Linked DNA regions of Rattus norvegicus. The protein of the gene in region 1 interacts with the protein of each later gene in a biochemical or structural test. Links are inferred from orthologs where the notes say so. Each region holds a gene or a part of one and is shown in the gene's direction. Other genes may lie near its edges. The genes, in order: Map3k5 and Txn1.

The links.
Region 2: the proteins of Map3k5 (region 1) and Txn1 form a complex in vitro, tested with the Homo sapiens proteins (3 studies listed by BioGRID). The link is inferred for Rattus norvegicus from reciprocal best matches to the Homo sapiens genes MAP3K5 and TXN.

The regions. Positions count from the first base shown.
Region 1 is NC_086019.1:16,711,588-16,726,526, forward strand, and holds the end of Map3k5 (mitogen-activated protein kinase kinase kinase 5), read left to right. Parts: intron 1-2,858; coding exon 2,859-3,102; intron 3,103-7,346; coding exon 7,347-7,459; intron 7,460-8,456; coding exon 8,457-8,569; intron 8,570-10,599; coding exon 10,600-10,676; intron 10,677-11,570; coding exon 11,571-11,631; downstream 11,632-14,939. UniProt on the Homo sapiens protein: Serine/threonine kinase which acts as an essential component of the MAP kinase signal transduction pathway. Plays an important role in the cascades of cellular responses evoked by changes in the environment.
Region 2 is NC_086023.1:77,500,454-77,515,746, reverse strand, and holds the end of Txn1 (thioredoxin), read left to right. Parts: intron 1-295; coding exon 296-400; intron 401-1,263; coding exon 1,264-1,323; intron 1,324-6,870; coding exon 6,871-6,936; intron 6,937-8,217; coding exon 8,218-8,280; 3' UTR 8,281-8,292; downstream 8,293-15,293. UniProt on the Homo sapiens protein: Participates in various redox reactions through the reversible oxidation of its active center dithiol to a disulfide and catalyzes dithiol-disulfide exchange reactions.

The DNA.
Region 1 (14,939 bases):
CATAGTCACCGAGAGTCCAGTCACATAGGCCCACTCTTAGAACTATACGATCTTTGGGTCTGGGTGAACGTAATGATGTCTCCCCACCATTAGACATCACAGAGAATATATTCATGGCCCTGAAAAGAATCCTCTATACTCTAGCTATAGAAATTGATTTTTGAGTTCAGCTCTCTGGCCGCTTCGATGCACGGCTGGGTTTGGAAATCATTGACCTAAACCTACTCTCGCTCTACGGGCAGTGAGACACAAAAGTCATAGTGTCGGTGAGCCAAGGTTTGAGACACGAGTGAGTAGTGTCTTCCTGCTCCAAGACAAACCTCTGAAGTAGCTGGACAGTTTATTCAGTAGTCAAAGCTTTTAAGCAGAGCTCTTATGCCTGGCTTGTATGTGGAGATGTCACTAGTCAGGTCTGTCTGTAGAGAGACGTGTGCATGGGTTAGGCACGTGTGCTTATTAAGTTTTGTGCCTGTATCTTAAAGGTAGGACATAGAAACCTAAAAGGATCAATATGAGATATTTTACCACCTCACCAATGTTTAAGTAATGGGAATCCTTCAAGACTGTGGAATTCTCTCTCTGGTCAAAGAATGCCTTGTCTGGTTCGCAGGTGTGGGCATAGCATCTTTACTACCTGTAAGTGCCTAAGTGTGTCTGGACCTAGATTGTAGCTTCTGGACACCATTCTCTGACAGGGGGAATTTGGGCTCCTGCTGAAGCGGTTGGTTTCAGGCCTGAGGTAGGAGAGATATAAGGAGGACTGGAGACATCTTGTGGTGATAAAAAGCAGGAAGGGCTCTGAGAAGTGTGGGGGTGGGGTGGGGGGTGTTACTACAAGGACACCGGATCCAACTTGAAGAAATTCCCATGAGTCCATGCTACCGAAATTTAAACAGCAAAATGAAACGAAGTGGAAATAGTATTGGGTTATAGGTCTCTGCTGGTCACTCTTCTATCACCATAGAAAATTCCTCAGATAATCAGTCTATAAGAGAGACGGTTTATTTTGGCCGTGATTGGGCTTTAGGCTTGTGGGGACATATCCTAGTGAGAGTGTTTGGCAGGGCTAAGCCTCTTAGCTTGTGGCTGGGAAGCAAGAGACCAAGGTTCCACAACCCACAGTGACATATGTCCCATAATGACCCCAGCACCTTCCAGTGGCGCTGTACTAAGAACTGAGCCCTTTCCCCTTCTGGGGGGAAACTCAAGACCCAAACTATAGCAAGCCTGACAGGATGGATTACCCGAATAATCGAATAAATAAATACAGGGCATAGTCAGCCCGTAGCTACAATAGAGTTCTATTTACCAAATGTGGAGGGAGTGCGGGAAATAGAACCACTACCACACAACCACGGGCGACCTGATCATGGCAAGCAAGGACTGCTAAAATTAGTAGACAAGGCAGTGACGAGACAGGATAGGGAATGGTTTCCAAGTCTCTCCTTACAAGGTGTTTACTAACTGCAAAGGGAAAATAGTAACTCTGATGGGACAGGGGGGTGGGGGTGGGGCTGGATATTTCCTCAGCCAAGGACGTATCAGCGATAATAAGACCCACACATCGTGCACCTCTTGCTATGATGGGCACACAAAGGGCACAGCATCATGTCTATGATAAATTAAAAAAAATGCAGTCTATTTGATGATGACATTTTATCAAGTATAAAGGGCATGGTATACAATATCTGAGTAGCTCTCCTTAAAGTTCTTTGCAGGCTAAGGCAGGAAGATTATGGGTTCAAGGCCAACCTGGGCTACAGAGACCCTACCTGAAAAAGACTAAGCCTATTTGGGGGGTTAGGGAGCAAAGGTCATGAGAGCACGGGAATAGTAGTCACAGACTGGGAGAGACCAGAAGAGCCATTCCCTCACTGTAGTGAGAGAACATCAATCAGAAAAGAGATAGATTTAACAGTCACTGTGTCAGGGTATGCTGTCAAGTGGGTCTGTCATCCCAACCTGTGGGAGGATGAGGCAGGATGGTGGGGGCCACAGAGATCCTGTTCTTAGAAATGAAGGGGGGGGGGAGAAAGAGAGAGGGAGAGGGAGTTAGTTGTCAATATTGATTTCCTGGTTTGGACAGCAGTTCTGAAACAAGACGTTAAGTGTAGGGCGAGCTTCTGGTAGGTACAAGGGAACACCCTCTGTGTTATATAATTTCTCTGCTACTGTAAATAGCATGTGTTTCGAAATAAAAGTTCAAGAAGTGTTTGGTCTCCCTGTTCCAATCTGATGGCACAGAACAGAGTGCAGTGGGAGTGCGTCCCTGAGGAGTTCTGTTCTCTGGCTGTCCTGAAGATCACTGGGAACATTGAGTATTCCTTGTTGCCTCTCCAGTGTGGTGGTGACCAGGCACAGAAATGCTGAGCATAGACGCCATGGTGGCCTTAGGACACTAAAAATAAAAATAAATAAAAAATAAATAAATAAATAAATAAAAAGATAATACAGATCCACTTCTTTTTTTTTAAGACTTTATTTATTTATTATATATGAGGACAATGCAGCTGTCTTCACACACACCAGAAGAGAGCATCAGATCCCATTACAGATGGTTGTGAGCCACCATGTGGTTGCTGGGATTTGAACTCAGGACCTCTGGGAGAGCAGTTAGTGCTCTTAACCTCTGAGCCATCTCTCCAGCCCCAGGCCCACTTCTTGCTCTGAGAATGATCTTTAGAGCCCTGTAGGTGCTCTTCCCGCCCGCCCGGAGGACCAATCTGAACAAACGCGTAGAAACTCGCCTTTCCTTGGAAGAGCAGCTTGGGCGGATCCCATGGGGGCTGATACCACCTAACGCATGGAGGCCAACAGTCAGCTGGTTGCGTTTATTAATACCGTGTTTTGCCGCGTAGAGTTGAGGCCACATTTCAGCCTCGCGTCGGAGAGCGACACGGCGGATCCGGAAGACTTGGATGTCGACGATGAACACGAGGAATCGCCTTCGAATCAAACCGCGCGGAGGCCCCAACCCGTCGCGGAGGATGCCGTGGCTACCTCAGGGGTGAGCACGCTCAGCTCCACCGTATCCCATGATTCCCAGAATGCACACCGCTCGCTGAATGTGCAGCTTGGGAGGATGAAGATGGAAACTAACAGGTAACGGGAGGGTGCGGGCTCGTTTCTTTTCTTCTCCTTCCTCTAACAGTGAATAATCCGGGTCTACTTTAAAGAGTCTGACCCACGGGGCTGGGTGTGGTGACGTGTGCCTTTAACCCTAGCACTGGAGAGGCAGAGGCAGGTAGATCTCGTTGAGTTCAAGGCCACCCTGGCCCACAGAGTGAATTCCAGGACAACCGGGCCACAGAGGAACCTTGTATATAAAAACAAACAAAATTCTGACCCACAGACCACACAGGATGGTCCTCTCACCCCTGCTCAGAAAGCTAACTGCTTTTCTGTGTCAAATACCAGAGGTTGACTTGAGCCTCTTGTAAAATGGTGCTTTTCGAGCACTTACCTGCTGCTTTACCCCGGGTACCCTGGGATTTACAGAATAACTGAGTGGTGACCTCATGGGGACCCTCTTGGAAACAGACTCAGGCAGTCCGGTCCTTCCTGGAGACAGAGATCGACCATGACTTGGGATATCTTATTCCTTTAAGAAAAAGCCCCTCCCCAGCTCCGGAAAAAAAGAACCAAAAAAAAAAAAAAAAAAAAAAAAAGAAAAAGAAAAGAAAAAGCCCCTGGGGGGCTGGAGAGATGGCTCAGAGGTTAAGAGCTCTGACTGCTCTTCCAGAGGTCCTGAGTTCAATTCCCAGCAACCACATGGTGGCTCACAACCATCTGTAATGAGATCTGATGCCCTCTTCTGGTGTGTCTGAAGACAGATACAGTGTACTTACATACATAAAATAAATAAATCTTAAAAAAAAAAAAAAAGCTATCACAGATGCCAAAACAGCAGCAGTTAGTTAGTTATGTATTTAAAAAAGAAAGAAAATAAAAGTAAAAAGGCCCTGTATTCAAAGGGACAGGACTAAAGTTCGCACTCAGGAGCTTGACGGTTCCTGGCCACATTTGTGATTGCGTCGTGACGTATCGGGTGCCCTGGAACCTGTCTGATCCAGTTACCCAAGAATGTCTCCTGTTCTTCACAGTCGGTGGCACAGGTCAAAGTCTGAGTACTTGTGATTTACAGCTTCCTGCACCGGTCCCTGTTGACATGTGGGAAACTGGCTTTATGGCTCTGAGTCTGCAATGAAAACTTTTTAGAGAATCAATAAAAGACGGTCAAATATTTAGAGACCTTAGTTGAAGATATAGCTGTCCGCCATGGTGACGAAGGTGACATATTTCTTACTGTAAGTTTAAGGCTTTAAAAGTTAAACTTCACCTGCTTATCGCTGGTGATTTTCGTGGGGGAGATGTTTTCGAATATGGTGGCGGTGACTCTGATAATCCACACGCCGGCCTTGTCCTCTGACACACAGCTCTGCCTTGTGCCTTTTCTGACCCTTCATTGTAGCTGCCACAGACTGGATCGCTTTGCTTCACCCGGCCACTCAGTCCTGACTACACCTGATTTTGGAACCCCTGCTCTGGTTTCTGGAGGGGGAAGCCTCCTGAATTACTGGGTTGCTCCAATCCTACCTACCATGGTTTCTGGTCAGAATAGTTTTGCAGGAACGCTACCAAAGAGCTGTTCTGTCTGCTTGTCTGTCCCTCAAACCTCTGCCTGTCCTCCTGGGCTTGTGGGTAGGACCTACATTTCTAAACATCTCAGAAGTGCATGTAGTTCTCCCTCCTCTCCTCTGCCTGTTTGCTTTGCCTCGAGCTCACCTCACTGTCCAGCACAGTCTTCTGTCTGCCATGTTTATGACATCTGCAGTTTCCCGGAACCCCAGTTTTCTTCATCTGGTCACAGGTCCTTTCTCAGGTCCTCTTGGCTCAACCTGAAGTCTTGCTTTCCGAAATCTATCCATTTCTATAGAGGGGATCCGCCATGTTTTGTATTGCCCTCTGACACAGCTACCTTTTTGTCATAATCTACACATTTGTGTTTTCTCTGCACTCTCTCAGTTGAATCTGTGAACTCTAAGGACTACTGGCCTCCTCTTTCCTTTTTAGGTTTTTCTAAATTCCCCAAACCATCAGAAATGTAAGGTGAGATTCAACATTTTCTTTACAAATGATCAGAAGAAGGGCAGACAGTTTACTAACAGCACTGAGCGCATACGCAGGGATTGATAATGTCTATCTTAGACCTTTTGAACATTCAGTTGGATATTATTATTTCTTAAGATTTAAATTTTTTTTCAGTCCTTTTATACAAGGTCTCATATAGTCTGTGCTGGCCTTGAACTAGGTATGTGGGTAAGGATACCCTTGAACTCCTGATCTTCCTGCCCCTACTTCCCAAGTACAGAGACGATAGGCTACTACCTGGACTTATCTCCAGTTGAATGTTGTTATGGGAGGGTAGCTCAATGACAGGGTGCTTGCCTAGCAGATACAAGACGCGCGTGTACATGCCTGCCTCTGTGTGTGTGTGTGTGTGTGTGTGTGTGTGTGTGTGTGTGTGTGTGTGTAGGAGATGTGGGTGTATTTTAGGAAAGGGGGAAACTCTGGTGTTAAAAATCTTAAGCTTAGGGGCTGAAGAGATGGCTTGCTATGCAAGCAGGAGTTCAGTCCCCAGCAGCCACATAAAAGCTGGACACAGTGTCACCTGTCTGTAATCCCAGCACTGGGGAAGACCCTTGGGGTTTGGTGCCCAGCCAATCAATTTGCATCTGTGAGCTCCAAGTTCAGTGAGAGATCCTGACACAAAAGATAAAACATAGCAAGTAAGAAAGCCATATGCCATCCTTTCCTAGCTCTCTGTAAATCAGCAGGGTAGACAAAGATACATTCCAGACCAAAATCGCCCAGTGAAAATCCATTCAGAGTTTGCTCCCCATACTGGGGCACCACACCTGCTGGGGTTGATACAAAGTCTCTCTTTGGCCCTTTGCTTTCAGCCCCCGTTGTTTAACCCATCTAACCGTGCACAGGATTTTCTCTGCAGGGCTCTTTGCTTACCTATCTTCTTTAGCCCTCCTCTCTCTCTTATTGTGCCTCACTTTTGTCCCACCTCTACACTCACTTCTGCTGTGACCCATCTCCTTCACGAGGGCCTCATCTTTAGGTCCTGCATGGAGGAGATCTTGGGGCGCAAGCTAGGGGCCTCTACTTATATATGTTGTCTCATGGAATTCGTACAGTAATCCTTCCTAGGAGTTTCCTAACGAACAAGAAAACTGAAGCCGGGAGGCACTGGGCAGTGTCTAAGATGAACACAGGAAGTGTGTGGCAGTCTACAGGTGCAGGCTTATCTCGAAGTTACAGCATGCTGTCTGCTCAGCATGTCAACGGAAGGAAACCAGCATTTGGCTGTGCACGGTCCCGAAGTAAATCTATCAGTGGTCATAAAATGAAACAGAGCTGGCTTGCCAAGAGCTGCGGGCTATTTAATAATTGGTCTTAAAGGCCTTAATAATTATGTATTTTATTTTTTGAGATTTGCTTAATGTGTATGAGTGTTTTGGTCACATGTATACCCATGCACCTCGTGTGTGCCTGGTGCCCTCAAAGTCAGAAGAGGGTATTAGATTTCCTGGAACTGGAGTTAGAGGTGGTTGTGGACTGCCGTGTAGGTGTTGGGAATCAAACCTGGGTCCTCTGCAAGAATAACATTGTGCTCCTCAACACTCGGCCATCTTTCCAACCCCAATGATTATATACGTTATAATTATATGCAGAACTGTGAATAAGGATTACCCAGGTAGTGCCAGGACACCAGCTCCTGTAAGCTGTGTAGTGATTCCTCACAGAAACAGGCTGGACAGTGCGAGCTGGCCACTGGTTGGTTCTTGGTTGCTAGTGGGCTTTCCACAGGCAGAAGTCATGTTAGAACCTCAGAATTTATCTTTGCGTTTTGGGACCACACCAGACCCACCTTAAGAACTGAATGTACCAGAAACGGGGCTGTGCTTTTAAATGCTTGTTAGCCTAACCCAGCCTAAGAAGGGAGGAAGAAGATAGCAGTAATGGCTACAATTGTAACAATAACCATTAACTTTTATTGAGCCCGATATAAGAGGTAGCCTCGCCTAAGTTATTCCTCAAATTTTCATAGCTTAAGGATGATTGCAAGTCTCCACAGGTCGGAGACTTGTCTACAGAGAGCTCATGACACATGCACTCCCTGACTTCAGACCAGAGCCACTGGTACCCACGACTGACTCTTTTATTTCTATAAAATCCCTATGCTTGCTGTAGCTTGGGAAAGAAGGCCGAGCTTAGAAAGGCACTGTTACCTCCTGCTTTCTTATCCCGTCAACCAACCAGAGTCTCTCTCGCAGATTACTTGAAGAGTTGGTTCGGAAAGAGAAAGAGTTGCAGGCACTCCTTCATCAAGCCATTGAAGAAAAGGACCAAGAAATTAAGCACCTGAGACTTAAGTCCCAACCCATAGGTAAGCAGCAGAGGATTTCAGAGTTGTCCCGTTTAGGCACGCCTGCTCAACCAGGCTGCCACAGAAGGCTGGGAAGGCTAGCAGGCAGCTGCCCCTCCCCTCACCAGCTGGAAGTCCTTTTTAAAGATCTCCTTCTTAACTTTAGTAACTGCTCATCTTCTATGAGCACAACAGAAATGCATGCTCGTGGCTACTCTTTCAGAGATAATGCATTATTGAGGTAAACAAGATTCTCCCCTCTTTTAGTCCTTGTCAAGATTTCACAACGCTGGCAGCGTCTGTGGATCAAGCCTTTAATCCCAGCACTTGGGAGGCAGAGGCAGGTAGATCTCTGAGTTGGAGGTCAGCCATAGCTGCCCAGAGAAACCCTGTCTGTGGGAAAAAAAAAAGAAAAAACAAAAACAGTCAGAAGATTTCACAGTGAGAGCGCGAGAATCAAACAATGCTACTCTGTGTCAGCATATTCTGGCTCTCCTCCTTTCAAATCTGGAGTGGCGTCCATAAGATAAGCTTACAGTAAGAAAAGGCCATCGTTTGAAACAGGGAAGGAATAAGCATTAGGAGAACTCACAGCTGAATCTCATTGGCTAATTATTGGGACGTTGTAGCTGCCCTTCCTTGTTTACTATTTGGCCCTTCTGTATTATTACAAATAGTCAAGAAAGAGACTGTAATTGTATAGTACTCTGCTAACTATTTCTCTTGGCTGCAGGAAAACCACAAGGCATGATCGGTGCACGCAGAGTTAGTTTTAAGAAATTATATGAAAGTACAAAGTACATTTTATTACAGTGTGACTTCTGACTTCCCATTTACTGGTAGAATTAGCTTGTCTGAGTTTTATTTATATTGTCATGTAGCCAGCTAACTTGTTCTTTTTTATTAGTCAGTCTCTGACAGCCTTTAATAGTTTAAAATGAGCACAAAATTCCCACGGATCCTGAGGGTTCTACATTGCTTCTGTGAAACTAAAGATTCTCCCCACGTTTGGTTCTAGATACCCCTGGGTTTCCCGTGTGCCACCTGAACGCTCCTGGTACAGCCATTGAAGACTCTGAACTTACTGGCTGGCTGAGGGAAAATGGAGCTGACGAAGACACTATAAGTCGGGTAAAGAGGCGCTATCTGTGGGACCTGTGGTATTTCAGTTCTCTATGTACTGGCACCTTAGGCACGGGAGACATACTTCTCAGCGAGTCAGAGCCAGTCCCACCCTACAGAGGTTCATACATTACAAGAGACAGATGAATTCCCCTGATTTAAAAAAAACAAAATAACAGTCTTACATTAGCAAATTCTGACATGGAGTTTGCAGGGCTCTGTGTGTGTGTGCACATGGGTCTGTGTGGTGTACATATGTGTGTGTTGTATATGTGTGCACATGTGTCTGTGTGTATGGTGTTCTTGTCTATGTGTGGTGTGTATGTGCATGTGTGTGGTGTGTGAGCACATGTGTCTGGTGTGTGTCGTATATCTGCATACGTGTGTGTGGTACGTATATGCGCGTATGTGGTTGTGTGTGTCTCTGTGTGTGTGTGTCTGTCAGTGTGTGTGCTGTGCTTTTCTGTGGTGTGTACATGCATGTGCGTGGAGTATGGTATATGTGGTGTATGTGGAGATGTGTGTGGATGCATGCATGTGTGCATGTGTAAGGTTCTCCCAGAGTGCAATGAGTGACTCTAAGGTAGAACGTACTATAAAGTTGGCCAACTGTATACACTGGGACAGGACAGACCAGGAAAGGAAGTTGTTCTCCATGGGGTGGGGGATGCACAAAGGCAAGGAAGTGGATACCGCATAGTTTTTCATGGCCTCTAAGGATTCTGTTGTTTACAGAAGGGAAGTTAAGAAGAGCAGGGAATGAACAGGAGTACAAGGGAAATGGCTCCCTCTGCTGCTACTCCTTAACCTTTTAATTCTTTTGCAGTGTTACTAGCTCTGCTAGGCAGTGGCTACTCATTGCTACTTGACAAAAGTAGATGTGGCTGGGGAATTTATGTCAGAAATACTCGCTATGCAAACCACATTGTGTCTATTACAGCAAATTCCTCTCTCACCACCATACTCTTACAGTTAGCATGTAAAGCACGTGACGTAACATCACATGTATAACGTGTGTGTGTGTGTGTGTGTGTGTGTGTGTGTACTATTTGAGAGTCGGAGAGAGATCTCTGCAGTCAAGAGTGTGTACAGTTCTTATAGAATACTGGCGTTTGGTTCCCAATACCCACATCTGGTGGCTCAAAACCACCTATCACTCTAGCCCCAGAGGATCCAGTGCCCTCTCCTGGAGCCCATACATGCCTGCATTCTGAGCACATACCCATGTGCAAACACACATCCTTACACAGTTAGAAATAAAAACTCCCTTTTTTAAGTTGTTGTATTTTCCATTTGCAAGAAAAGACAACCTCTTAATAATACCATACTGTCTTCAGATGTATGCATATACATTTAAATAACCAAAATAAACTTTTATTTTTGCAATATATGAACGACATAAAATCTAGGGTCTCCTTAGAGACATACATTTAACAATTTACTGCTACCTAAGTCAAAGTAACTCTGTCACTAGGGGAAAACCATACACCTGACCAAGTTCTCCAAAATATTTATCCTCTCGGGCTCAAATCACAACCAAGGGAGACGAAACAGTGACCCGCTAAGTCATCTTCCCTTTCAGCTGCTATAATTAAAAGCTCCATTTCCACCCAGAACTGGCTTTGCAGGGAATTACAGGGAGGTCTGTGTTGCCGGCTAAGGAAAGTAAGTTTAGAGACTATGTACAGGCAATAATGTCCCAAGAATACTGTCTGACTGCTTGGGAACAAAGAGCTATGGAGAACGAGACTTGTTCGATGCGAGCCGTGAGTGGCCTGCGTGCATAACGACAAGCAGGATTAAGCCTGCGTGCGTCACCTCTAATCTGTGAGCAACGGGAATCACATCGACGTGTTTCTTTCTGAGGCTGAAGTCAGAAGGCTTTTCCTCTGCTAATTCCAGAGGGTTGTTGTTTTTAATAATGGCTTTCCTTTTGGGTTCATTCTTGATTATTAGCAACGCTTGCCTTGTGGGCACATTTTATTTCTTCCTTCACGGTACATGCAGCTCACCGTGTGCATGCTTCCCTCTCTCGGCAGTTTCTGGCTGAGGATTACACGCTGGTGGATGTCCTTTACTACGTCACGCGTGACGACTTGAAGTGCCTCCGACTAAGGTATTGCTTTTCTTCCTCTTACATTTGGTTACCACGAGGGAAAGACCCTCAGTTTACAACAGGAAGTCTGGGTCCTTGCCCTGGGGGGGTCTCTAACCAGCGCTGCGGCTCAGCAAGGGCTGGGTCTGGTTCTCAACCCTCACGCTAAGCTAAATTAGCTGGGCGAGGCTATGTGGGGAAACTCTTAATAACTAGTATCTCTGTTGAGTATGGGACAGTCAACGGGAAGGGATTTCTTAAATAAGACTGCAGACCGAAGTCACGCAGATCCCATTCAGGCTTCCGTGAAGAACTTTAAGGTAGCCTGTGGTCCTCTGGTAAAATAGTGGGAGTGGTTACTTACTTACCAGCTGGAACGATTTGTATCATCTGGTACAATTGCTTGTCAGTTTTCTCTTCTGGTCCAGGTAGATCCGTAACTTAGCAACCATCTCTAAATAGACACATTTGCTGGGTGGTGGTGGCACATGCTGTTAACCCCAGCACTCGGGAGGCAGAGGCAGGCAAATCTCCATGAGTTGTAGGCTAGCCTGGTCTCCAGAGCGAGTTCTAGGACAGCCAGAGCGTCATAGGAAAACCCTGTCTTGAAAAAAACTATACACACACACACACACACATATATGTATATATGTATATGTATGTATGTATATATGATCACATTGGAAAAATGCTCAAAATGTAAAATGATGTTTTGTCCTCGACACTTTCCGTGGTGGAAAGGAAAGGACTGAAGAAGGGTGGTGGGAAATACTATGCACACGGAACACGTGAAGCCTGTTAAACCTGGGGTCTTCCCGCTCACCAAAGGAGCTGAACGAGAAGAAGTCCTTTTTCCCTCTCAAGGGCATTTCCAAGTGAGAGCTTTCTTCAGCTTGTTCTTCTGTCTTTAAACAGGGGAGGGATGCTGTGCACGCTGTGGAAGGCCATCATTGACTTTCGGAACAAAGGGGCCTGACTGCCACCAGGGTGACCTTGACTGGAGATTCTGAACACTGATAAAGAACTGCTCTCCTTGTGGGAGGAGGAGTCGAGGGGAGGCGAGGAAGAAGCTGCACTTTAAATCCAGTATTTGTTTACTCAAAAACGAAAGAAAGAGATAAGACACACTGAAATCTCCTAACTTCCATTTCTACAAAATTCCTACGGACTTTTCGGAACAATCCTTATTAGAGCTGTAATGTCGGGGCTTTTTAGCCTACACATTTTGACGGAGAGGTTTTTCAGTCAGCAGCTATCCATTTCAACCCGGTGTTTACCACGGAAAAGACAGAACGTTTCGTGTGACTGCGTACCACTGGAACAAAACCAAAATGTGACCACGGCTTTTTAGGGTTCTCTGTGTGTGTAGTGCCCGAGTGTCTGAGCAGAAAGGCATCATTTCAGTCGTTGTATAAAGTTGTTTTTTTTTTTTTTTTAAGTGGGCAGAATCTAAGAGTAATGGTTTCTACTCTGTACTAATTGTCATATTGACTGTATTTTGTAACTTGTTTCTGGCCTAGGGTGTGTTTGTTGGAGGGGTTTATGTACTACTGAACGGTACCACTAGCACATGCCTGGATCGTAGTGATGTTAGCTTGTTCTAAAGCTATCCGTTGTGTCATATTTACAGAAAAGTAAAAAGATTGCCGGAATGCTACTTTGACAGAGTCCAGAGAATTCTTACTTTGTGCTGATGCACTAAATGACTGGGTTAAATTTTTTTTTTGTTGTTGTTGTTTTGTTTTGTTTTTCTTTTGCTTTCATCTATGACATCGAATAGAATGTGATTCTGTTCAGGCAATGAAAGGACAGTTGGGATCCAGATTGTCCCTTGGGGACAGCAGGGTGTGGGGCGGGGGGGGGGGGGGCGCAAGAGAGCGGTGAATATTTTAAACTCGATGTCTTTTCCCCATGACCCCAAGTTACCTTGAAAAAGTAAGACACTGTACCATATCTCAAAGTGGTTTGCAAGAGGATCCTAATGGACACCACTGTCTTTTCTGTCTCCTTAATGTGGTTCTCACATCTGGGGAAATTTTTTGAGCCAAATATTATATTTTTATGAGCCTTCCTTTGTAGCCAGGACGAGGTGTGAAGCTCCTAGGTAGATAAATAAAATTAATTTCCTATATACACAGGGATGTGTATTCCATAGCATGGAAACAATGCAGAGGCGTTCAAGTGTCATGATTTGACCCATAGAAAAGTCTCCAATAAAAGAGAAATGGCCTTTATTTCTATGTGAAAATAAAAGTACAATGTGTCATATTGCATCTGAGTATATAAAATAATTCTCTTGAAAATGTTCTCAATTGACAGCAACAGGGTTGATCTTCTTTAAAACACCTCACCCCGGGGTTGGGGATTTAGCTCAGCAGTAGAGCGCTTGCCTAGCGAGTGAAAGGCCCTGGGTTCAGTCCCCAGCTCCGGGGGGAAAAAAAAAGAAAAAAGAGAAAGAAAAAAAAAAGAAAGAAAACACCTCACCCCTGAGGACAGATCATTAGTCTCTCAGATCCTCTGCATTAAGACGCAGGTTGTCTCATTAATTTTAATGTTTTAAGTGCTTCTTTTATATTGTGTGTACATAGGAGCAAGCTACCCATTTTCAACCGGTCCTTCATATAGTTTTTCCTTCCTTCTCCCCTACCTCCAGTGTCCGTCTGTCTGTCTCTCTGCCTCCCTCCCCACTCTGCTTCTGTCTCCTTGTCTCGAGCCTTCCTAACACACACTGTGTTCCCAGATCACCTACCATTGTGGATTAAGGTTCATGGAAGGTTTGTACTAGGAAAGACTTTACCTTCAGTATGCCCGGGCTTCTCGACCTAGATTCATGTTCAGATGACCTAGATACTTAGTAATATCACAGAGCACTCGCTTAGCCCTGTGTGAGACTGTAGGCTCAATCCAGCAACACCATACACAACCACAAGAAGGCTTTAAGGACCAGGCACCTTGGGACGGGAGAAATGGCTTAGTGGTTAAGACCAGCTTCCCAGATCCACAAATCAGGCAGCTTATAGTAGCCAGTAACTCCAGCTCCATGGGTACCTAAACTCAGATGCACATACACACAAGGAGACACATGTACATATACGTAATTTAAAATAAATCTTTTAAAAAAATAAAGCACCAAACACATCTTTTAAATTCCCCATCAAGTGATGATCAAATCATACCTCATTTCTGGGTCCAATGAAGAGCAAAGTGAGACACGGCTCCTCTCCTAGGCGGGGCGGGAGTGAGGCAGCTACCTCACTGTTAAGTGTGGAGCCCAGAAGGAAGCTCTCACCTAACTTGGGCCTTTGGCAAATTCGCCTCTCTGTCTCAGTTCCTTCCTCTGTGAAATGGGGAAACGGCGTGCCTTCCTCAAAGGGTTGTTCTAGGAATGAACTGAGGACAGCACAGGCAAGGTACTTAGGGAATGCCCGGCATACAATAAGAGCCCAGGGGCTGCCCATCCTGGGATCGTTGCCACTCAGAAGCATTTGATCAATACTGAGGGCCAATGAGATGACTACTTCAGTGGGTAGAGGTGTTCACCATGCAAGCCTATGATGATCTGTCAGAACTCACACAAGAGTGGGAGGACAGAAGCAATTCCACAGTTGTCCTCAGGCCTCCACAAGTGTGCAAGATGAATTCTGCACACACCGTGCACACAACCGGGTAAATGCTACTGGAGAGGCCATGCTGAGGCATATGAGTAAGAGGTAGTTCTTACCACCCAGGCTCCACCATCAGAGAGGACTCAAGAGCATAGGAAGGGTTATGGATACGAAAGCCAGAACGGAATCAAGAAAAGTTTTTCAAGGCTGAGTTGAGCCTGGGAAGATATTTAGAATAGAAAGTTATGCAGGGTTGACGGTGCCTCTATTTTAAGAGAGAATGGATTTTCCAGAACCCCATTTAAATGGCTCTGATGACAGAGATGCTGTAGCACCATAGAAGAGAAATGAATGACACCCACCACAAGTACATGATGTCAGCAAGGACACTTCAACCTGTGCACAAATAACTCACCGTTCCAGACTTTATGGTTCTGCCGTCAAAAATATGCATTGAAGACCTGGGTTTGCAATAAATCTTCCCACATCTCATAGGCTCGGCAAGTGTTAATCCCAGCTGTCACTAGTCAAGTTCAGAGGGTAAAGCCCACTGAGCCAGGACAGGAGGACATACTCCATGTAGAATCTTAACCTGGACCTTTCAGTAGTTATACTAAGTCAGGACCAGGGCCGAACACGGGCATTCGAAAGGCCAGAGGGGGATCTGAACCATTTTGAG
Region 2 (15,293 bases), on another chromosome or scaffold:
AGATTCCTTTCAAGCCACTTTATTTGCTTCCTTTGATTAAAAAGTAGGCCCTAAGAGCCTAACCCCCTATTTTGTACTTAATTTCTCTTTGTTTCTCATTTGCATGTTTGCTTGGGTCTTTTTGGACAGTGGGGGTCTCACTGACTGGCCTGGAACTGACTGCCACCATCCAGAGGTCTGCTTACCTCTGCCTCCAGAGCGAGTGCTGGGTTAAAGACATGGTGGCACCTGGCCATGTGCTATGGAAAGCGGAAGTATATGATATGTAACAGGATGCTTCTTTCTCCCTCCTCAGGAAGCTTTTCAGGAGGCCCTGGCCGCTGCGGGAGACAAGCTTGTGGTAGTGGACTTCTCTGCCACGTGGTGTGGACCTTGCAAAATGATCAAGCCCTTCTTTCATGTGAGTGTGGGGGCAGTGGGCTTTGAAGCTGGCTACTGAGCACAAGACAGGAGGAAAGGGTTGAAAATAATGGGTGCGAGGGGTTCGCTTTATTCTCCTGTGTCACTGACCTAAAAGTAGGAGCAGGACAGCTTATGTAATATGGTTCATTGAGGACAGCTTTCAGAAGTTTTGTTGTCCTAAGTAATTTTTTTCCTTCGCATTTGATACCTGGGCCCAGTGTGCAATTTGGGCTTCAAAGTTACAGTGCCAAATTATTTTACTCTTGGGAAAACTTAACTGAGACACAGCTGAGTCCCTAATGCTTACCTAGTCTCTAGGCTGAAGTTTTAGACCTAGCTGGTGAGATTGCTCAGTGAAGGGGGAAAAAAAAGACACTTATGGCTTGCCCTACAAACCCGAGGACCTGAGTTTGATCCCTGGAATCCACACTGGAAGGAGAACCAAGTCCCTGAGGCTGCCCACGGACTTACACACACACCTGTACACATTTACAAGAATAATAGTGCAGTAACAAATAAAATAAGGGCTTTTAAAATAAATCTTTAATTAGTGTATGGAGCTGGAGAGATGGCTCAGTGGTTAAGAGCACTGGCTGCTCTTCCAGGGGACCTTGGGTTGGTTCCCAGCACCCACATGGGAGAGTCACAACATTTTATAACTTCCAGGGCATTCAGCACCCTCTTTGGCCTTTGCAGGCACCAGACACACACGTGACATACAGACATCTGTGTAGCCAAAACACCCATGTACATAAGCTAAAATTAAATAAATCTTTATTTAATCTCTATGGTGTCTCTCTTGAAGAAGCTTAAGAATGCGATTATCCAGTTCTAACGCTTGGTTTATTTTAAAATTTCTAGTCCCTCTGTGACAAGTATTCCAATGTGGTGTTCCTTGAAGTAGACGTGGATGACTGCCAGGTATGTAGTACGAAATCGGATGCTGCCAGGCATCTCCCAGTGGCCTGTCCTCTGGAGGAGTCTACTCTGTTCTTTAAAGTAAAAAATGTCCAGTAATTCTAGAAGTGGGACCCTGTCTAAGAAGTTCTATTTCAGAAGGGTTGGTCCTGTGCCAGTTATGGGCGTGACCCTAGCTATTCAAGCTGTGTTCAGCACATCCTACAGCAAGCATCTGACCGCTTCCAGGCTATGCGGCCTTTGTGCTGCATAGACCTGTATTCTACCCCCCACTACGAGATGATCATCAGAAATAAGTCAGCTTTGGCTCTAAGAGATGGTAGATTGGGTGGCACTGTGGAATTGTGAGGAGCTCTGAACTTCTCGTGTGTGGGGACTGTATCCACAGGGTTATTATAAGAATGTTCTTATTCATATGCTTGGTTTGAATCAGTGAGAGGGCCCTGGTATTATAAGAAGCATGAGAGAGCCCTAGTGCCTTAGAGAGCTGGGAGAACTTAGGGGGAAATTCACAGCCTGGTTTTATTTAGGAAGTTCGTGCCCATTGTGCACTCAGCTCTGTTCTGTGTACTTTCCACATATTGATAAACCCCACCACCACCCCACCCCTAGTACTGCTGTTGACCCTGTTTTAGCGATGGGGAAGCTGAAACAGAAGACCGGGTGTTGCAGTTGTAGAGTCCCTGGCAGAGCCAGTGTTTAAAATGAGGAAGCGTGGCTGCTCTGCCCTCGCCCCATACCTTCCCCAGGTTCTTAGCATAAGCCCTCTCCCCTCACCCAGGCCACTGGGCTGGAAAGGCCCAGGTGGGATGGAGCATCATGGCGCCTGAGGGAAGGATGCATGAGTATATTGGACTCACTGGATTCTGCTTCAAGCTAATCTCCCCTCTTCTTCAGCCCCAGTTCTCAGTCTATAATCAGATCTCCATACCTAGCCATCAGCTTGGTCCAGGTTCAGGAGGGTCGCATGAGGTGTTCAGTGGTCCTCTCCGAACATCCAGCTCCCGCCATCCCCTGACTGGTTTTTCTCAGCATACTTTCTGGCCCATCTCTGCTTGTGCTGTCTCCCTTCCCTGGCCTGTCCTGTCCTACCTGACTGAACCAGTCACAAGCTTCGCTCCTTTTTCATGACCCTGGCTTCATTTACCCCCCTTCACACTACACTCTTAGTCTGCTTTCCTTCCGAGCCTACAGTGGTACGGAGAGGAGGTGGACCCTGGGCCTGTGCTGCTGGTCGCCTGCACCTTATTAACAGTGAGGGCTTGCTTGCTCAGCTTGCTTTTCTGTGATGTACTTTCATGCTCTAAATGGCCATGTGGTCCAGCATCACAAGTGAGGTGGCTATTCAGATTGAGCAGGACCATAATTATGACGCCTATGGAGTGCCTGGCTCCTAAAGAGTAAGATGTGACTGCTTTCACAGGAAGAGAGCATCCGACATCCTAAGTGGTCTGAAACCCAAAACAGTTTTGAATGTTAGGCATCATGGACGAAACAAAGAAGTCTGTGCAAATATGAAGTCTAGAAACCCTGAAACATACCTGGTCTTAAGCATTTGACTAAGGGATACTCAAGTTGTGATACCTCTGTCACTAGTCTTAGTCAAATGCCTAAGGAAGTTACTCCCTAATACAGTTAGAAAAATGAGAGTATAACCTGCTTATCGGAGGAAAAAAGTTCTTGTTCTCTGTTTTCACAAACTCAGTCTGTCCGTTGCACCCTATCCCCAGCTTCTTTATGACAACAGTTCTGAGTCATGGGCCACCTAAGACTATCAGAAAACACTTATCTACATTGCAAGTCTGTACAGTAGCTAAATTAGTTAAGTTTATGATTGGGGTCACCTCACCATGAGGAACTGTATCAAAGAGTTGCAGCAATAGGGAAGTTGTTAACCACTGCTATATGGTTACTGAGCCAGGAGAAATTCACTCAAGGTTTAGCTCAGTTGACCCTGTCTGATAATTCCAGTCACTGAAGTCTCCTGGGCACCTCCAAGGTTTAGCTCAGTTGACCCTGTCTGATAATTCCAGTCACTGAAGTCTCCTGGGCACCTCCAAGGTTTAGCTCAGTTGACCCTGTCTGATAATTCCAGTCACTGAAGTCTCCTGGGCACCTCTGTGTGTGTTTTACCTTGAGCTGCCCACAGTCACTGAGTAGCACAGGCAATGACAGAGGCAGAGAAAGGACAGGTCCTTCTGCCTCAGTCCTGACCCCTACAAAGACATGTAAAACAGCTGGGGACACGGAGTGACAGCACCTTCAAGTCTGCTTGGGTGTCTTTTGAAACTTGAAGTGACCCTGTGACCAAATGGAAGCCTTTAACTTTGGTTCCATACTCTACAGACCTAAGCATAGAGAACCTTAACAGAAGTTCCCTAAACACCTGAGTGGAGGGAGTCCTGTAAGCAGCTCAAATGGACAATTGGGCCTGTACCCATAGCACATAGGAAAACAAGGAAATGGCTACCACACAGAAAGTAACATGGAGGCCCTTTTGACATGACACCACCGATCATTAAGTGTAGGTGTTACAACCCTTGGAGCAGTAACTGGGCAGAATCAAGACTTAGAATGATAATGAGACTGTCATCCAGCATTACTGAAGTCCTGGGTATTGGCTTGGCATAGTTAAAAGGTCAGCACTCCCAAATTTAAATTTAACTCAGTCTGAAGCTAATGTATTTAGAGAATTTATGGTGATGCTTTGAAATAGTACAGGCATGAAAATCTGGACTGTGTTTTTAGAAACAAAGGAGGAGTGGGGAGAGAAACATTAGTAAAAGTTGTGCAAATATATATTAGCCACATTGATTAAAACATTGTTTTAAGCCAAGACTATTTAACTATATGTTAATAATTTACTTTTTAGAGTTAAGCTGTTGCTGGTCTATCTTACTCTCTATTACATAAATCTAGAAGATAAAATTTGTAGGGCAGTCATAGGCACTGTAAAAGAGCTTTCTCTTTTGATGCTGAGCAAAGAGACTGCAGTCCTGAGTGGGGCCTTGTTAGCTGGGGTATATGAAGTCTGTCCTGAGTGGGCAGGGCTGGTGGGTTTGATGGCATAAAAGTCATGAGACCAAAGCACAGTCAGGAGTTCTGCTTATGGGATTGGTGAATGGGAGGAACAGGTCAGTGTGTGGGGACATTCATTCATGAGGACTGAAAGTGCATTAGGAAATACCACTGTTTCTAGGTCAAATTAAATTCTTGGAGTTTGGTTCACTTGGGGCTGAAGAGATGGCTCTGCGGTTAAGAGCACTTACACAGAGGACCCAGGTTTTATTCCAGCACCCGTATCAGATAGCTCACTGAAACTCAGGTTCTAGGGAATCTGACACCCCGTAGGTATAAACACATTGCCCTAGTGTGGGTGTTTTGATCTGTGATGAAACACATGACCAAAAAGGTTTATTTTGGTTACATTTTGAGGTCACATTCCATCACAGGGAAGTCAGGCGGGAAGCTGGAGGGGATGCTAGAGCAGTGCTTCCTGCCTGGCTTAGCCAGCTTTCTTCCAGCACCCAGGACCCCCTGCCTGGGTGTGCTGTGACCTCCCACATCAACCACTAAGAAAAGGCCCTAGAGGCTCCTACAGCAACAGAAGCAATTCTTTAACTGAGGTTCCCTCTCCTCAGTTAAAGGACTCTAGCTTGTGCTAAGTTGGCATAAAACTAGCCAGAACACACAGAAGGGAATATAAAAGACCTTTAACAAATAGAGCATTGCCATTCACACAGTGGTTGCTGAGGGGTGGTAAAAAGGTGGGTACAAAGTCCATATCTGAGGGTGTAGGTATATGTGGGGGCGGGGCTACAGTGCCTGTAGCACACGCTTTGTAAAGAAGGATGTGTGGTAGGTCATGAGTTGATAAGATTAGTAAAGAATGGGCTGCCCCCAGCTATTCTTCATGAGGCAGATTGTAGAATTTTCTGCAGCCTAGTTCCATTTTGTGTTTTAAAACCCCAGAGTATGTATTTATTCATAAGTATACGTACATAAATTGGAAATGATCTAAAAGTCCAGTAAGAGGAATTAATTATATTGTGAAATAAAATACCATGCCACCTTTAAAAAAATTGCTTTGACACAGAAAAATGGAGGGGGGGTGCATTTTTAAGGTACATTCCTTTTGTGTGTAAGTGTTTTGTTTACAAGCATCCGTATGCACCGGTGTGTGTGCAGTGTCTGTGGAGGGCAGAAGAGAGCATCAGATCCCCTGGGACTAGAGCGGCAAATGGTTATGACCACTGTCAAACCCAGGTCCTCTGCAAGAGCAGCCAGTACTTCTGACTGCTGAGCCTTCTCTCCAGACTCTATTAGAAAGTTGTTGATGCTTTAATTAAAAATGTACTGTATGGGGCTGTTATACAAAATGTAGGAGTATAAACACGTAGAAGTTATCATTAAGATTCCTTTTCCAGTGTCTATGATTTATTATTTGTTTGTTTGGAAGACAGGGTCTTAGAGCCCAGACTGGCCTTTAAGTGGCTATGTAACTGAGGATGGCCTTGAACTCCTCATGCCCCTACCCCCACTCCCCTAGTATTGAGATTACAAGTGTGTGCCATCATGCTTGGCTAAGAGTAATTTTTAGGCTGTAATTCAATGTGTGACCCTGATCCCAGCTTCATGGTGTGCACCTGTCATCCCAGCACTCAGGAAGCTGAGGCAGGAGAATCTTGAATTGAGGCAGTTAGGTCTCATACCTAACAACAGGACAACTAGCTAACTATGATGCCTATCAACCCACACCTACCTGATGGATCCTCCCAGCATCCCTTAGTCCCTATGTATTATAGGGTATGACTGACATACCCCACACCCTATCCTAAACTTCTCCAGCCCAGGGGCTAGGCTGTTCTTCCCCCCAGCTGTCCTTCCTTATTTAATCCAGCCATTTTGGTTACCTGGTACTTTTTGTTAACCCTTTACTCTCCTGGCTCACCCCTCCTCCTCCTTTCAGATGTCTCTGTCTCTGGCTGTGTTTACCTTTTATATACTATCAACCTCCTGCACCATACCTCGGAGCAGTCGAGTTCTCCTTGTTTATTTCTTTCTTTTTTTCTTTTTTCCATCACTGGCCAGCCTTGGCAATGTGACAAGATCCTATCCAGAGAGTTAGGAATGTCGTGTGGTTATAGTGTTTGCCTAGAATGTGCAAAGCACTAGCTTCCAGCCCCAGAAACAACAAATAAAGATTAACCAGCTCTTACAGTCATCATTTCTATATACCCTGCCCCGTAATAAAATTGGAAAAACTTATTCAAGAACTTAGTCGAGCTAAACAGCGCAGTGAATGGCTTAGCATTAGCATTCCGTTTATTAATGCCTGTTAATGGAGGTAGATATTAGTAAAATGTTTTCATTGAGAATGCAACGTGGTAGGCTTTTTTCTGCTGTTGTGTTGATGTGCTTAAGAGGTTCTGAGGCTGAGGTTTGGGACATATAATGGAAAAGGGGACGTTTTCAGAATTTTCCACCTGTGTTTAATGTTCCAATCCTTGATTTCATCCTCTCTTCCGACCACCTTCCCCTGTGTCCCAGGATGTTGCTGCAGACTGTGAAGTCAAATGCATGCCGACCTTCCAGTTCTATAAAAAGGGTCAAAAGGTATGTATATCTGGATTTAAAAACACCGACTGTACCTGGGCATGGTGGTACACACCTTAATCCCAGCACTAGGGAGGGCGGCAAAGGCACACACAGGTAGATCTTGGGAGTTGCAGGACAGGACAGCCTGGGCTTCCCAGAGGAGCCACATCTTTAAAACAAACAAACAAACCACCTGGGACTAGGTGTGGTGCAGACACTGGTGATCCCCGCCCTTTGGGAGTAACCTGGGAGAGTGCAGAGGGGTCAGGTCAGGATGTGCTGCAGAGCAGTCAGGCCCTGTTTCAGAGAACCAGCCGTGGCTGGGGTGGCTCCTGCCTTCTATCTTAGCACTCGGGAGGCAGAGGTGGTGTGTCTCTCTGAGGCTGGCACGGTCAGTCTACAGAGTGAGCTTCAGGACAGCCAGGGCTGTTAAACAGAGAAAGCACTTCAGCAACACCCAGGAAAAGAAAGAAAAGAATAGTCAAGTGGGCCAAAGACTGTGAGTCATCCAGGAGACGGCGCTGCCATCTTGTTTCATGTCAAATAGACCCTGGTGTGCTGTTGTATGCTTATATTTCAGAGCTTAGGAGGCCAAGGCAGGAGGCTTGCCACAAGTCCGAGGTTAGCCTAGGGTATATAGTAACTTACTAGCTAACCTGGGTTTACCAAGAAAGACCCCTCTAAAACAAAACCAGAAATAACACTTCAGCCAAGGCACATAATACGTGCAGAAAGCACTGAGGAGACGTCCACACAAGGGCGGTCTCCACTGCCTGCATCCAGGACAGTGGGGGTGGGTACGGTGCTGTAATCTCAGCACTTGGGAGGATGAACCCAAGAAACACCTTGGGTTGAGACCAGCCTGAGCACTGGAAAAGGCTTTGTTTTAAAAAGGAAAAGACAGTGTCTTTCTTCCTGAACCTAAATACATAATATGCAGCAACAAATTGAAAATTAGTCTCTGTTAAAGAGCAGTAGCAAAATCTCCACAGCTGGTTCATAATCATACCACGGAGCACATGTTCCTAGCCCTCAGCAGGTCGTCTCATCTTACGAAGAAAGAGGGCTTTATGTTTTGGGGGAAATTGCACTGGAGCCCTTTGGCTTCTCTCCTGGTTCCTTCATTTTTGCTATTAGTTTTGCCTTTTGGTTTGACTTTGGTTTGTTGTTTAGAAACTGTTACTTGAGAGAGCTTAAGTAAAACCTCCCCCTTCTACGTCCCCACCCCTGCAATTACAGCCTCTTACGGAGTAGGTGGGATAGGCGCTGCTCTGGCTAATCACCCTTTCCTCTCAACAGGTTGGGGAGTTCTCTGGTGCTAACAAGGAAAAGCTCGAAGCCACTATTACGGAGTTTGCCTAATCATGCTCTGAAAAGTGTGACCAGCTCCAGCAGGTTAAAACCTGTACCTTTTTTAATTTGCAAAAATAACCTATGAAGTGTGGAGAGTCTATACCCAACTGCCATCTGATTATAAATGACAATAAAATATTAATTCTACCCTTTTTAAAACTGTCTGGTGTCTTTTAGTATAAGTGAGAAAGGGCCCGATTTAGTCCCCTTGATCTTCAGTAACATTTAGCCACTTGCTAAAAGCCATTTGCTTTAAGACTAAATGACGGGCTGGAGAAATGACTCAGTAGTTGGGAACATTGGCCGGACTTGCAGAGGACCTGAGTTTACTCCCCAGCACCCATATGGCAGCTACCTGTTTCTCGAGTTCCAGGGGATCTGATGTCCCCTACGGGGCTCCATGGGAACCAAGTGTGTCTGGAGCACATGTACATTACATGTGGCTAAAACATTCCTATAAACCTAAATATTTAGTTGTAGAAAATCTCTTGTTTATTCGGTTACATTAAAAGTCTAAGGGGTTTGTTATTTTACCTCAGTAAACATGCTCTGTGTGCTCCAGACTATGAGCGTGACTGGTGGTTCACGCATGATGAAACTGTTGGTCTGATATGAGATGTCTGTGCCATAGATTACAGTTAGCTGCTAGTACCCTGACAGTGAGAGCTAGTTGTCCGTGAGCTTGGCTGCGGTAGTGTATGCTGATAATCCCAGCAGAGGCAGGCCTCTCTCTGTGAGTTCAAGGCCAACCTGCTCTACAGAGTGAGTTCTAGGACATCCAAAGCTAAAACAGAAACCCTATCTTGAAATACAAATTCTCCGTGTTCCACTCCAGGGCTGCAAGCATTACCATGGAGACTGGTTTTACAAGCCTGGTGTGGCATGGTCCATGCACTTGGGAAGGTGGGGTCAGAAAGGTCAGGAGTACAAGATCCACAGCTACATAGCAAGTTCCAGGCTGATCTGGGCATCCTGAAACTAAACAGTAGGGGAATGGGACCTGAAGGAACAGCTTTCAGGTTAAATTAATACTGAGAGTCAGAATTCTGTCATAAGCTAGACATCCCGTTCATCTTTGCAGTAACCGTTTCTGGTACAGATGCTAGAATCCCCACTCACCAAGTGAAGGCAAGCCTACAAGGAATGCTCCCAGCATCCCAGCTGCTCAGTGGGTCGGCTGGAATTTGAACCTGAGAGGAGTAGCCCCAGAATGTAATTAGCAGCAGCCCACGTATTGTGTGGCAATGCTTGGGTCTGGGCTTCTTGCCTCTTATAAAATTGGGATATTGGAGTCAATGATTGGAGGGACATGCTATGTCCAAGGCACTGAGGACTTGGCATAGAGCTGTAAATAAGACTTTGAGCACACTCCTTACACAGCAGAGAAGGCGTGTGTGTGTGTGTGTGTGTGTGTGTGTGTGTGTGTGTGTATACATGTATAATTGTGTACAAACACACACACACACACACACACACACACACACACACACACACACACACACACCAGCTATATGAGGTACATTTTGTGAGGCAAAGAGAACCAGGAGACTGGCCACAGTAATAGAACAGGGAGACCTGCTCCCGATTGGGTGGTTGGGTAGGGTTCTGTGAGATGACCGAGCTGAAACTTGATAGGTGAAAAGGACTCCAATTGCCAAATGCCAGGGAGTCAGCTTTCCAGAGCAGAAACCAGGCACAAGGGGTCCGAGGTGAAGAGGGTGGTGCAGAATCCATCCAAGCATGAAAGAAAGGTGGATGGAGTAGCATGGCCCAGTCATCCCAGGCTTCACTGGCACAGGTAATGGGAAGCCATTGGAGGGTAAATGGTGACGGTAAAGAGTCTCATTTCAGTATGAGAAATGTAGATTAAAAATGAAAGCCAGGAGGATCCCTGCAGGTACCTAGGGCAGATACGAGGACAGTGGGGAGAGATACAAGGAGATGGTAGGGACGGAACAAGCAGCCAGAAGAAAACAGGACCCAAAAAGCTATCCTGAGGTTCTGAACTAAAAACCTGGGGTGCTGAGTCTCGAGAGGGGGGTCAGAGGAAGCAGGTGAAGGTAACGAAGTCTCTCTAGGAATGTCAGACGCTTTCAGAACGGACATTCAAATGAAAAGGCTGTGATGGTAGCTGGGTACTTACCTTGCGCTTACTGCAGCACTAGGCGCAGAACTAGATCCCTACGCCAGCACTCGAGAAAAGTTCCACAGGGCTGGACGGGAACAGGAACTGAAGACGTTATTATTAGATGCCCTTTAGAAACATTTGGGAAAATCAAAGAGAATCCAGAGTGAAGGGCTCCAGATAGAGCCTAAAGAACTCCAACTTTAGAGAGGGGGACGGGCGGACACACACAGAATAGGGAGAGACAACGGAGATTATCAGTCGGCCAGAGCGGAAATGGGGGCCAAATGGTGCTGAGGGATTTGGGGAGGTGAGGAGCAGGAGGAATCTTAATGGGCATCGGCTGGGGTGGGAGAAGCAGAGAGGGAAATGGACAGACGCTAAGCAAGTGCTGCATGTACAGAAGGCTGACGTTAGAGCTTTATCTCGCCCTATATAAAAATCAACTCAACACGGATCAAAGACTTTACTGTAAGACCAGAAACAAGCCATGTTTGGTCGTGCGCACCTATCCTGGTAAACTATCCTGGGCTACCTAAGAGCCCCTCTCAAAAGAAAAAAAAAATCAATAATGAAAGAGCAAAGTGGGAACTGATAATGAATGCAACAGAAACTCCTATAGCATGATGGGAACAGAAGCGAGATTGCTGGGGACAGACATCATTATCCTACAAGAAGTCACCCTTGTTTGTGCAGAAACATGTCCAGAGCAGCACACATGATAAGCATGAACAAAGGCACGCATTCATCAGTCCACTGTGCCGTGCTCTTTCTCAACTGGTTGTGATAGGACCAGTTCCTTCAAGCTCTTGTCACCTTGACGCCAGCAGTGATGGACAGCATCCACAGTGACCCCAGCAGGATTGTGACCTGCATTGTGAGCTAAACAAACCCATTCTCCCTTATATTGCTTTGGTCAGGGTATGTAGAGTAAATGCTAGTCATACTGAGATAGAAAAAAGTGTCTCTAAGACCAAGTGCAGAATGATATTAAAAACAGACTAGTATGATTGTGTGTGTATGGGACACAAGGCATGCTACCTATCCCTATAAGCAAGTGTATATGTAAATTATCAGCCAAAGCTTTCTGAGGACAGATTCCAGCTAAGCACAGAGGTAACCGAGGAAGGAGTGTCTCGTTTTATCTGTAAGCATTTGGGCGTTTCATAACAGCAACAAACAATTCCAGGTCACAGTTCATTACTGCTGGAGGTCAAGGTGGCAGGAGCTTGATGTAAATGGTCACGTCACATCCGCTGTCAGGAGCAGAGCATATAGGATTAATGAATGCACACCTTTGCACAGCTTACTTGCTTTCTCCACCCTTAGGCAGTCCAGGAAGCTCTCTGCCTAGGGAATGACGCCACCCACAGTATCAAGATAACCTCCCACAGACATGCCCAAAGGCCAGCTGGATCTTGCTGCAACTGTCTTCCCAGGTGATTCTAGGTTGTGTAGAATTGACAAATAAAACTGACCACCCATGGATTTAAAATGTGGAAAGATGAACAGAAAGGAAAGAAATGTTGGCAGGCCAAAGAATTTTGCTAGAACATAGAGCTGACTGGTGGAGGTCAGAGGCAGTGTGTGTGTGTGTGTGTGTGTGTGTGTGTGTGTGTGTGTGTGTGTGTGTGTGTGTGCGTGTGTCTGTGTGTGTCTGTGTGCGTGCGTGTGTCTGTGTGTGTGAGTCTGTATGTGTCTGTGTGCGTGAGTGTGTCTGTGTGTGTTTCTGTGTGCATATGGGCGTGTGTGTGTGTCTGTGTGTGTCTGTGTGCGTGTGTGTGTCTGTGTGTGTGTGTCTGTGTGTGTCTGTGTGCGTGAGTGTGTCTGTGTGTGTTTCTGTGTGCATGTGGGCGTGTGTGTGTGTCTGTGTGTGTCTGTGTGCGTGTGTGTGTCTGTGTGTGTGTATGTGTGTGTGTCTGTGTGTGTCTGTGTGTCTGTGTGTGTGTCTGTATGTGTCTGTGTGTATGTGTCTATGTGTGTCTATGTGTGTGTGTGTGTCTGTGTGTGTCTGTCTGTCTGTGTGTGTGTGTCTATGTGTGTGTGTCTGTGTGTTTGTGTGTGTGTGTGTGTGTGTGTGTGACCATTTGGTGGGTTTGCCAATATATGAGTGGAAAGTAAGTGAAGTGACTTACTGTAAGTCAAGTGACTTGCTTGACTGTAAGTCAGCAAGGATTCCTGTAAAAGGAAGTTTCCTTTTTAGTCAAGAAAGAATGGAAGGATGTTAAGCCTAACATGGAAAGGCAAACACTATTTTATATCATCTGTGGAATCATAAATGGTCAGACTCAGGGTGTCATAGGGAAGTTGGGAGCAATGGGGAGACATTTCTAAAAACAAAACCTCCTGCACTTAACAAAAATGGCGTCAGATCTCCATCCTGGTTAAGTTTTAGGCTTTATGCATTCTGGATACCAGTACTTCAGTGATGTTGTTGTTGTTGTTGTTGTTGAAAATTAAGGAGAACACAGAGTTCAGCTGTTTGTTAAAGCTGATGTGACCTACACCTGTGATCTCAGCATTAATGGCTGAGGCAAGAAAATCATGAGTTCCAGGCAATACTGGGCTACTTGGTGAAACCCTGACTCAAAGTAATAATAAATTGATAATAAATACATTAATAATGAAACTATTATTATCGCCTGACTGTGGCTACCACATGCCTGTAATCCCAGCACTTAGGAAGTAGAAGCAGGAAGATCAGTAGTTGTAGGTCAACCTTGGCTACCCAGTAAGTATGAACACAGCCTGGGCTACTACAGACTGACCCTGTCTCAAACAAAAAACAAAGTACTGGGACAATTTTGAAAGAATTAAGTCACCATTATTCTTTTTAAGTTTCCTTTTATTATTAATTTTTTTTTACATCCTGCTCACTGCCCCCCTCCCAGTCATCCCTCCCACAATCCTTCCCCCAAACTCCCTGAGCAAATGGGGGCCCCCTGAGTATCCCTCCACCCTGGCACATCAAGTCTCTGCGAAGCTAGGTGCTTCCTCTCCCACTGAAGCCAGACCAAGCAGCCCAGCTAGAAGAACTTATCCCATGTACAGGCAACAGCTTTTGGGATAACCCCTGCTCTGGTTGTTTGGGACTCACATGAAGACCAAGCAGCACATCTGCTACATATGAGCAGGGAGGTCTAGGTCCAGCTTGGGTATATTCTCTGGTTGGTGGTTCAGTCTCTGAGAGTCCCAAGGGTCTAGGTTAGTTGAGCCTGTTGGTCTTCCTGTGGAGTTCCTACCCCCTTAGAGGCTGCAATCCTTCCTCCTGTTCTTCTATAAGGTTCCCCAAATTCCTTCCACTGTTTGGCTGTGGGTGTCTGCATCTGTCTGAGACAGCTGGTGGGTGGAGCCTCCTGTCTGCAAGCATAACAGAGCATCATTAATAGTGTCGGGGATTGGCGCTTGCCCATGGGATGGGTCTCAGGTTGGGCCAGTTATTGGTTGGCCATTCCCTCAGTGCCAGCTCCATCCTCCATGCCTGCATTTCTTAGGATAAATTTTGGGTTGAAAGCTTTGTGGGTTGGTTGGTGTCCCTGTTGCTCCACTGGGGTTCCTGCCTGGCTACAGGAGGTGACCCAATCCCCAGTGCTGAGTCACAGCTAAGGACACCCCCCCCATTGATTCTTGGGTGCCTCCTTTATCCCAGGTCTCTCTCTCTTCCTGGAGATGACCCCACCTCCTCACCCCGGTCAGTTGCAGATTTCCATTCATTCTCTTGGTCATCTGGCCATCTCTCCTGTCCCTCCCAACGCCTATCCTGAGCCCACCCCATTCCCCTCCCTATCCTCTCTCCCACCCAGTTCCCTCCCTCCATCTGCCTCTTAGGACTAATTTATTTCCCCTTCTGAGTGAGAGTCAAGCATCCTCACTTGTGCCTTCCTTCTTTAGCTTCTTGGGGTCTGTGGAGTGTAGCGGGCGTCCTGTATTTTATGGCTAAGATCCACGTATAAGTGAGTATGTTCCATGCATGTTCTTCTGGGTCTGGGCTACCTCACCCAGGATGATATTCTCAAGATCCGTCCATTTGCCTGCAAAAATCATGGTGTCTTTGTTTTTAATAGATGAATAGTATTTCGTTGTTTAGATGTACCACATTTCCTTTATCAATTCCTCAGTTGTTAATTCCATTTTTTTTTTTAAATTCTGTATCTACTGGGTGTGGAGCTGTCATAGGCCATGATACCATGGTGTTTTGTCTCAGGCACAGACAGGGTAGGCATGAGGTAGGGAGAGTGTTTGGGGGGGGGGGGTGTCTCTCTATATATATCCTTGACTTTCCAGAAGCTCAGTTTGTAGGACCAGGCTAGCCCCAAACTCATGATCCTCCTGTCTCTGCCTCTTGAAGTGCTTGAGATTAAGGCCGTGTGCCACCACACCCTGATGCCTTGGAGCTTTTAGGCCCTGGTTTTGATCTCCTGGGTCGCAGAGCACTCTGACTGATGGTGATGGTATTCGATTGCTCCCCGTGTGAGAGATGGGCAGGACTTTACAGTGCACATAGGAATTGTGTAGAAGGTGCATTGGTTATGGCAATGAGTGAGAGCAACTTAGTCTTAGTTTATAGTTGGATTACAAAGGAGAACCCACTCTCTGATAGGTTGCTGTGCTCCCAATCTTAGCTGGAGTGCTCCCACTTGCATGCAGGCACACACATAGGCTAGGGAAATGTTGCAACAATTGCACAGAGAGCTGAGGAACATTTTCTTTTTTTTTTTTTTTTTTGGTTCTTTTTTTTCGGAGCTGGGGACCGAACCCAGGGCCTTGCGCTTCCTAGGTAAGCGCTCTACCACTGAGCTAAATCCCCAGCCCCAAACATTTTCTAATACCACAAGTTCCACTTTACTCTCGAACGGTGGGTGCATTCACAGGCTGTGATGTAGTATGGGAAACGTGG